2 linked regions of the Callithrix jacchus genome follow. The protein of the gene in region 1 purifies or fractionates together with the protein of each later gene. This does not show direct contact. Links are inferred from orthologs where the notes say so. Each region holds a gene or a part of one and is shown on either strand. Other genes may lie near its edges. The genes, in order: TSC22D4 and NRBP2.

What was found.
Region 2: the proteins of TSC22D4 (region 1) and NRBP2 purify together in Homo sapiens (affinity purification with mass spectrometry; 3 studies listed by BioGRID and IntAct, counting the BioPlex papers as one, with this or other methods). This does not show direct contact. The link is inferred for Callithrix jacchus from reciprocal best matches to the Homo sapiens genes TSC22D4 and NRBP2.

Annotation. Positions count from the first base shown.
Region 1 is NC_133503.1:13,244,833-13,249,323, forward strand, and holds the start of TSC22D4 (TSC22 domain family protein 4), read left to right. Parts: upstream 1-1,679; 5' UTR 1,680-2,082; intron 2,083-2,533; 5' UTR 2,534-2,802; coding exon 2,803-3,564; intron 3,565-4,491.
Region 2 is NC_133517.1:53,777,145-53,779,939, reverse strand, and holds part of NRBP2 (nuclear receptor-binding protein 2), read right to left. Parts: intron 2,035-2,795; coding exon 1,902-2,034; intron 1,787-1,901; coding exon 1,684-1,786; intron 1,606-1,683; coding exon 1,555-1,605; intron 1,481-1,554; coding exon 1,345-1,480; intron 544-1,344; coding exon 490-543; intron 394-489; coding exon 330-393; intron 238-329; coding exon 80-237; coding exon of another isoform or gene 24-79; 3' UTR 1-23. UniProt on the Homo sapiens protein: May regulate apoptosis of neural progenitor cells during their differentiation.

The sequences.
Region 1 (4,491 bases):
GAAAATTAGCTGGTCATGGTGGCGCGTGCTTGTAATCCCAGCTACTTAGGAGGCTGAGGCAGAAGAATTGCCTGAACCCAGGAGGCGGAGGTTGCGGTGAGCCGAGATTGCACCATTGCAGTCCAGCCTGGCTAACAAGAGTGAAACTCCATCTCAAAAAAAAAAAAAAACCAAAAAAATTATAAGAAATGTAGCCAGGCATGGTAGTTTGTGTCTGTAGTCCCAGCTACTTGGGAGGCTGATGCAGGAGGATCAATTGAAGCCAGGAGTTTGAGACCATACTGGGGGACATAGTGACAGCCCCACCTCTACAAAAATTTAAAAATTAGCTGGGTGTGGTGGCATGCGTCTAAAGTCCTAGCCACTTGGGAGGCTGAGGCAGGAGTATGGCTTGAACCCAGGAGTTCCAGGCTGTGGTGAGCTTTAATCACACCACTGTGCTCCATCCTGGGCAACAGAGAGAGAGAGAGAGAGACCCTGTCTCTAATAAAAAGGAGGAGGGTGGGGGAGAGGGGAATAATATAATGTCCAGGATTTGATTTCAAATAGTCTAGCAAAATACAGCTGGCTCCCGAACAATGTCATTTCACTGAATGAAATGTCATCTCACTCTGTTGCCCAGGCTGGAGTGCATCTTGGCTCATGGCAGGCCCGACCTCCTGGGGTCATGAGATCCTCCTGCCTCAGCCTCCTGAGTAGTTGGGACTATATGTGTACATCACCACATTCAGTTAATTTTTTAAAAAATTTTTTGTAGAGATGGAGATCTGGCTATATTGTTCAGGCTGGTCTCAAACTCCTCGGCTCAAGAAATCCTCCTCCCTCAGCATTTGAGTAGCTGGAATTACCAGTGCACCTCCCCATGCCCAGCTAATTTTAAAAATTTTTTGTACAGACAGGGATCTCGCTACATTGCCCAGGCTGGTCTCGAACTCCTGGCCTCAAGCGAGCCTTCCACCTCAGCCTTTGAGTAGCTGGAATTATAGGTGCACCTCACCATGCCCAACTAATTCTTTTATTTTTTGTAGGGGCCGGGTCTTGCTATATTGTCCAAACAGGTCTCAAGCTATCCTCCTTCCTCGGCCTCCCAAACAAAGTGCAGGGATTGACAGGTGTGAGCCACAGTATTCGGCAATAATCCACTTTTAAAAATAAGGAATGAGGGGAATAATAGTACCTTCCTCATTTAGTTGCTGTGGAAAGGAAAGGAGAATGACGGTAATAGCCACAGCCGCCCCACAGCAGGAACTAGGCACTTCTGGGGGGGCACCCAGTACACCTCCAGGCCTGTGCCGTCCCTCTCTTTGGTGAGTCTCTAGGAGAGGGGCAACAATTGACTACAAGTAAGGGAATCCCTCGCCTCCCTGCAAGCTCCTCCCCTTTCTCCCCGAGCCCCGCCCTCTGCAGCCCCTCCCTGCAAGAGTGGTGCTGGGGCCCGGCAGGTGTGGGGTTAAGGGAGTCTGTTTGCGGCCCCCAGGAGCAGCAGCCTGAGCAGCGGCCGCAACAACTGCAACAGCAGCGGCTGTGGCAGGCCTGGCCCCTGGCCAGCTGGCGGGGAGCCCCAGGAGGGAGGGAGGGAGGAGGAAGGGGAGGAAGAGGGGAAGGAGGAGGAGGAGGAGAGGAGCAGTCAGCAGGCCCGAGGAGGCAGGACTTCCTGGTGTGGGGGTTGTCAACAGCTCAGAAAGAGAAAGACGGAGAGGCAGACCCAGGGGAGCCGAGGAGCGGAGACAAGGACCCAGCGGGGCCACGCGGGAGGAGACTCGGGACACCAACTCGCCGGCTGCCACCGGGAGCAGCGGGGGACTCCGCCGCCCCCTCCCACATCGTCTCCAGACCCTTGGTGCTTCAGAGGCCGCGCTTGGGCTCCTCGGAGGAGGCTCGGGTTCCTTCTTTTCGGAGAGCAAACTTTACACGGAGATGCCTCGCAGAATGAGCTGCGGCCCCCGAAGAGGACGGGGCAGCCTGTGATCGCCGCCTGCGAGTCCCGCCACTGCCCGGGGCCAGGAGGCCCCAGGGAACCGACAGCCCTACCTCTTAGGCGCCGGGACCCCCAGGCTCAGATCAGTGGCCGAGGCCCCAGAGGTAGGGCTTGTGGCTGGGCGGGGCGCAGAGGGGTAGCCTGGCAGGGCTTGACCCAAAGATGTGGGAGCTGGGGTGAGGGTGGGGGCTGGAGGCCTAGGAGAGGTCTCTCTCTGGGTGGCCGGGCCAGGCTGGGGAGCTGCTTCACCCCGGTTCTCCCAGGCCCTGGAGTCCGAGCTCCTGGGACAATGCAGGATCCCTGAGTCGGAATCCCAAGCGAGAAATGTTCAACTCTGGGACCCGTCTGCCTCTTCCTACCCTGAACGCCTTCTGGGATCCGGTCCCCTCTGCCCTGGTCTCTTGTCATCTCTTGCCTGCCTCTGGTTCTCTGACGGTTTCCTCTTCCCCCACTTTGCTCCCCGGAGAGGAAGCCCCGGAGGTGGCCTGCCCACTGGTTTCACACACACACACAGACACACACATAAACTCTCTCTCTCTCTCTGTCTTTTTCCAGTTTGCAAACTCAGCTCTGGAGTTCAGCAGCGACAGCAGCAGGAAAAACCTGCCCTTGCTCCCCCCTCCTGCCACCTCCACTCTCCTCCTCTCCCCTCACCCAGCAGGCACCCCCGGTTCCCGCCAGGCCCTCCTGCCATGTCGGACCCAGACGTCCCCAGGGGCCCGGATGCCCCCACCATGTGGCCCCCTTGTTCCAGGGGTGCCTGAGCCCCTTCAAGGAGCCCCAGCCTACCCCCAACCTTGGCCCAGCCCTGAGCCCCAGGGACCATGAGCGGGGGCAAGAAGAAGAGTAGTTTCCAAATCACCAGCGTGACCACGGACTACGAGGGCCCGGGGAGCCCAGCGGCTTCGGACCCCCCTGGCCCACTGCCCCCCACCGGGCCCCCACCCCGCCTGCCAAATGGGGAGCACAGCCCTGATCCGGGGGGCAAGGGCACCCCCCGTAATGGCTCTCCCCCACCTGGGGCCCCCTCCTCCCGTTTCCGGGTGGTGAAGCTGCCCCACGGCCTGGGAGAGCCTTATCGCCGAGGTCGCTGGACTTGTGTGGATGTTTATGAGCGAGACCTGGAGCCCCACAGCTTTGGCCGCCTCCTGGAGGGAATTCGAGGGACATCAGCGGGCGCTGGGGGCAGATCTTTGGATTCCAGGTTGGAGCTGGCCAGCCTCGGCCTGGGCACCCCCACCCCACAGTCAGGCCTGTCTCAGGGCCCCACCTCCTGGCTCCGTCCACCGCCGACCTCTCCCGGACCTCAGGCCCGCTCCTTCACTGGGGGGCTGGGCCAGCTGGTGGTGCCCGGAAAAGCCAAGGCAGAGACACCCCCACTGTCGGCTTCCCCGCCTCAGCAGCGCCCCCCAGAGCCTGGGACTGGGGAGAGCGGGGGCACATCTCGGGCTGCCACACCCCTGCCCTCCCTGAGGGTGGAAGCAGAGGCTGGGGGCTCCGGGTCCAGGACCCCTCCACTGTCCCGGAGGAAGGCTGTAGACATGCGGCTGCGGATGGAGTTGGGTGCTCCAGAGGAGATGGGGCAGGTAAGACCTGGGTTCTAGGGCTCGCCCATCTCAGCCCTGGCCTGACCTTCATGTTGGGCCTCCCTACCTCTGCCTCCCTCCCCCTCCTCCCCCCTCCTATCCCTTCTCCTCCTCCTCCTCCACCTCCTCCTCTTCCATCACCTGTCTATCAGATCAGACAGCCCCTTCTCTGTGCCTGCCAAGTCACTCTCAAGCCCCTTCCTTGGTTTTCTGCCTCAGCCTCCTTCCTGTTTTTTGCACCCTTTCTCTTTCTCTCTGGCCTCTGATTCTGTCTTGGTTTTCACGTGGCCTGGCATATGTGGCCTCCTCACCTGGCCTTCTTCTGTCTTGGTCTCAGCTCCTCTGGCTCTAGGTGATGAGGGTGGAGGCCCCAGCTGGGTAGCTGGGTCCCTGGGGTAGGAGCTGCCAGGATTTGGGGAGGAATGGTAAAAGGTAGGCCTTGTATGCTGCCAGTCTCTTTCCACTGCAGCCCCATCCTGAATGTGGGGTCTTTCTTTTCCCCCAGCCACCCATCGCAGTCCCACTTCTAGCTTTGCTGCAAGCCAAGTGTCATGGAGAAATTGGGTGGGGGGAACACCTCCCTGGGATGGGGAAGGGGCTTGCTGGTTGATCCTTTTCACTCCCCAGTTGTCTGGCTCAACTCCCTCCAGGCAAGAAGAACTTGAGGAGGAATGCAGTCCCCGTACTGTTTCTCCTTCCTGTCTCCAAAAGAGGAACAAGTCTGGGCTGGGGGTGGGGGGCAGGATGCCTGGGTCCCCAGGGTGGGGGCGAGAAGCCAGAGACATGGGGATTGAATACTTCTGTCCTGCGGGAGAAAATAACACCTCGGAGGGCTGGGGAAAGGCAGGGAGTGTGAGGATGCGAACTCTTTCCCCTTCCTGGCCTTGGGCACAAACCACAGTATAAAAATAACCTGGGACTGGATGT
Region 2 (2,795 bases), on another chromosome or scaffold:
TCCCCTGGGGCTGGGGCACCAGGTCAGGCCTGGGCCCCACGGTACTTGAGGAAAGTGCTCTCCAGGAAGGTGGCCAGCTTCATCCGGTCGCCCTGCGGAAGGAGGGAGGCATGGGGGACGGAGGGGTGCGGCCTGCCCCGCACACCCCCTCGGCCTGGCAGCACCACCCTGCCCTGCACACCTCGTGGAGGAAGCCGTAGTGCACGAGCTCCGCGGCGAGGTCCTGAGCACTGTCCGCTGGGGCAACGGCGTAAGGTGAGGCTAGAGGCCACTGCGCCTCCGGCTACCCGGGGTCACTGCCCACCGCCCAAGTCCCCTGCCCAGCCTACTTGGGAGCAGGTCGTAGGTCAGCTGCCGGTGCAGCCGGTCCTCCATCACCAGAAGCAGAGTGAGCTGGGGAGGTGGCAGGGCAAAGTCGGCGGGGAGTTCGGGGGTCTGCCAGGCCCCCGCCTTCCCCACAGCAGTGCCGTCCTCCCGGGCCCCGCTCACATGCCAGCGTGCCTTGTCCTCGCTCCTCTCCAGGTTGCACTGCATCTGGATGACCTGCAGCGGGGGAAGGCTGGGACTCACAAACCCAGCAGCAAGAGCACATGCTGCTGTGCCAGAGGGGCCCAGAAGGGACAGCAGAGATCGTCAAGCGGGGAGTCTCTAAGAGGAGCCCATCTCACTGCTAGTGGCCTGGCAAGCTAAGGAAAGCTTCTTAAAGAATCAACATTAGGAGCTGGGTACTGAAAGGTGAATAGGAGCTTTCACCATGGAGAGAATGACTTGAACAAAGAGGGAACTATGGGCACAGGAAAAGGGAGGGTGGCCAGGACAGGGCCACACGGAAGTGCACAGTGCCTGCAGAATCAGGCCTCCCAGAGCCTGGGCATCGGCTGAGGACTCCCATGATCTCTGTGGCCAGCCAGGAGCAGGCAGTTTGCTTGTTTAGGACATGAATTCTGGCTGCACTGCACTGAGAGAGGCTTCTGGCCAGTAGGCAGCACTGTAGAAGTCTGGGGAGACACCAGGACACAGATGTCCAGGAATCAGCACCCGGGGGTGGGTGAAGAGTGCTGGCAGGTAGAAGGGCCCCAGGTGAGTCCTGGAGGAAAGATGGTTGGAGTGGGTTCAGGGCAGCAGGATGTGGGGGAAGGATCTGAGAGGACATGGAGCCTCCTAGAAAAGGGGAGTGTCCAGCCTGTCCAACAACCCCCACGATCCGCACCGGAGGATCAGCCTGAATCCGGTCTCTGGCCGCCTGGAGGAGAGCTGGGCTGTGGGGATGCAGGCCCTGAGAGAAGAAGGGGCACCTCTTGTCTGTCTGAGGGCTGGCACTGAGCAGCAGGAGAGAGGCCTCACCTTTCTAGTCTCAGAGTCAAAGGGCTCTGGTGTTGGGGTCTTGGCCTTTTGGACCTCTTCTGGGGGTGGGGCCAGCACACGGGGCAGCCCCAGGGGCCGAGTGGCTGCAAAGTTCATCAGTGGGTAGATCCCGTTCCTGGGGACACACCAGGGTAGCTGGGGACTCAGGCCTGACAGCTGCCTGGCCCCCAGCCTTACATCAGCTCTCACCTGACATCTTCCAGGAATTTGTCCAGCTCCATGAAGGAGACCTCCGAGTACCTGGCATGGAGGTGGGAGGCACATGAGGGGCTGGCCAGGGACGCTGGAAGGGGAGGCTTCTGGGCGCTGACTGCTCACCGCCACTGCAGTGGGGGCCTGCGGGGCCGGGGAAGCTCTGCCAAGACAGCATGCAGGTCCATGGCCTTGGTCTTCTCCTCCACCACATTCTCAGGCATGAGGTCTGCGGCCACAGGAGCATCAAGGTGATGGGCTCAGGCCTTGGGTCCTGCAGAGCCCCCTTCCACGTCCCAACCCTCAGCCTCCCTGGCCACCCCCTGGGCTGGCCTGCTGCTCACATTGGTGCTGGATGAAGCAGTGAGCTGCCAGGAGCTTCAGTGAGTGCACCTCGAAAAGCACTCGGTGGAAGAGGAGGCTGTGGGCAGAGGGCCGGCGGGCAGGGTCCCGGGCCAGGCAGCAAAGGATGAACTCCTGGGGTGTGGGGAGGAGGGGCTGGTGGTGTGCAGGGGCTCTCTGCTCTGACCCCACAGTTCGAGGAGAGGCAGCTTCTGAGTTCCCCATGTCCCTCCTCCTCAGGGACACATGGGACATGCAGGGATGACCACAGGGAGGAGTCCTGGCAGCAGCCAGGCCAGGACCAGGTCCTCCGAGCTTGAGGACAGCTGGGTTCTGGGATTGGAGCGCCCATGCTCTGCTTCCCTCAACCCTCAAAAAACTGTGGGGAGTAGGAGCCATGACCCTCAAGTCACACCTGCAGGCCTCCTACCCACAGACTTTTGATCGGCCCAGCTCAGGCTCAACACTGGAGACAGCCATGTGGACAGGTCCTCACCCTGTCCATATCCATACCCACTCCAGCTCCAGCTCCCCACCTGCCCGTGCAGGCACCCCCATCTCCTGAGGCCATGGGGCGAAGTCTGGACTCCAAGCAGAGGGGCTGGGGACGCAGCTTCCATCCCATACCTCTTTTGCCTGCCTGGCACCCACCATGTCTCCCCACAAGCTGGAAATTTAAAGTCAAGTTATTGGACTGAAGCAGACCCAGGTACAGAGGTTAGCTCTACCATTTACTCTAAAACTTTGGGTAAAGGACTCATCTCCGAACCTCGGTTTCTTTATCTATAAAACAGGCATGGTGATAGCAGCCACAGAGAAAGGCTCTCTCTTGCCTTCTTGTTCTTAAAATGTGCTGACCCTTCAGGGCCTTCTGGCCTGGAACCAATATGTGCTCC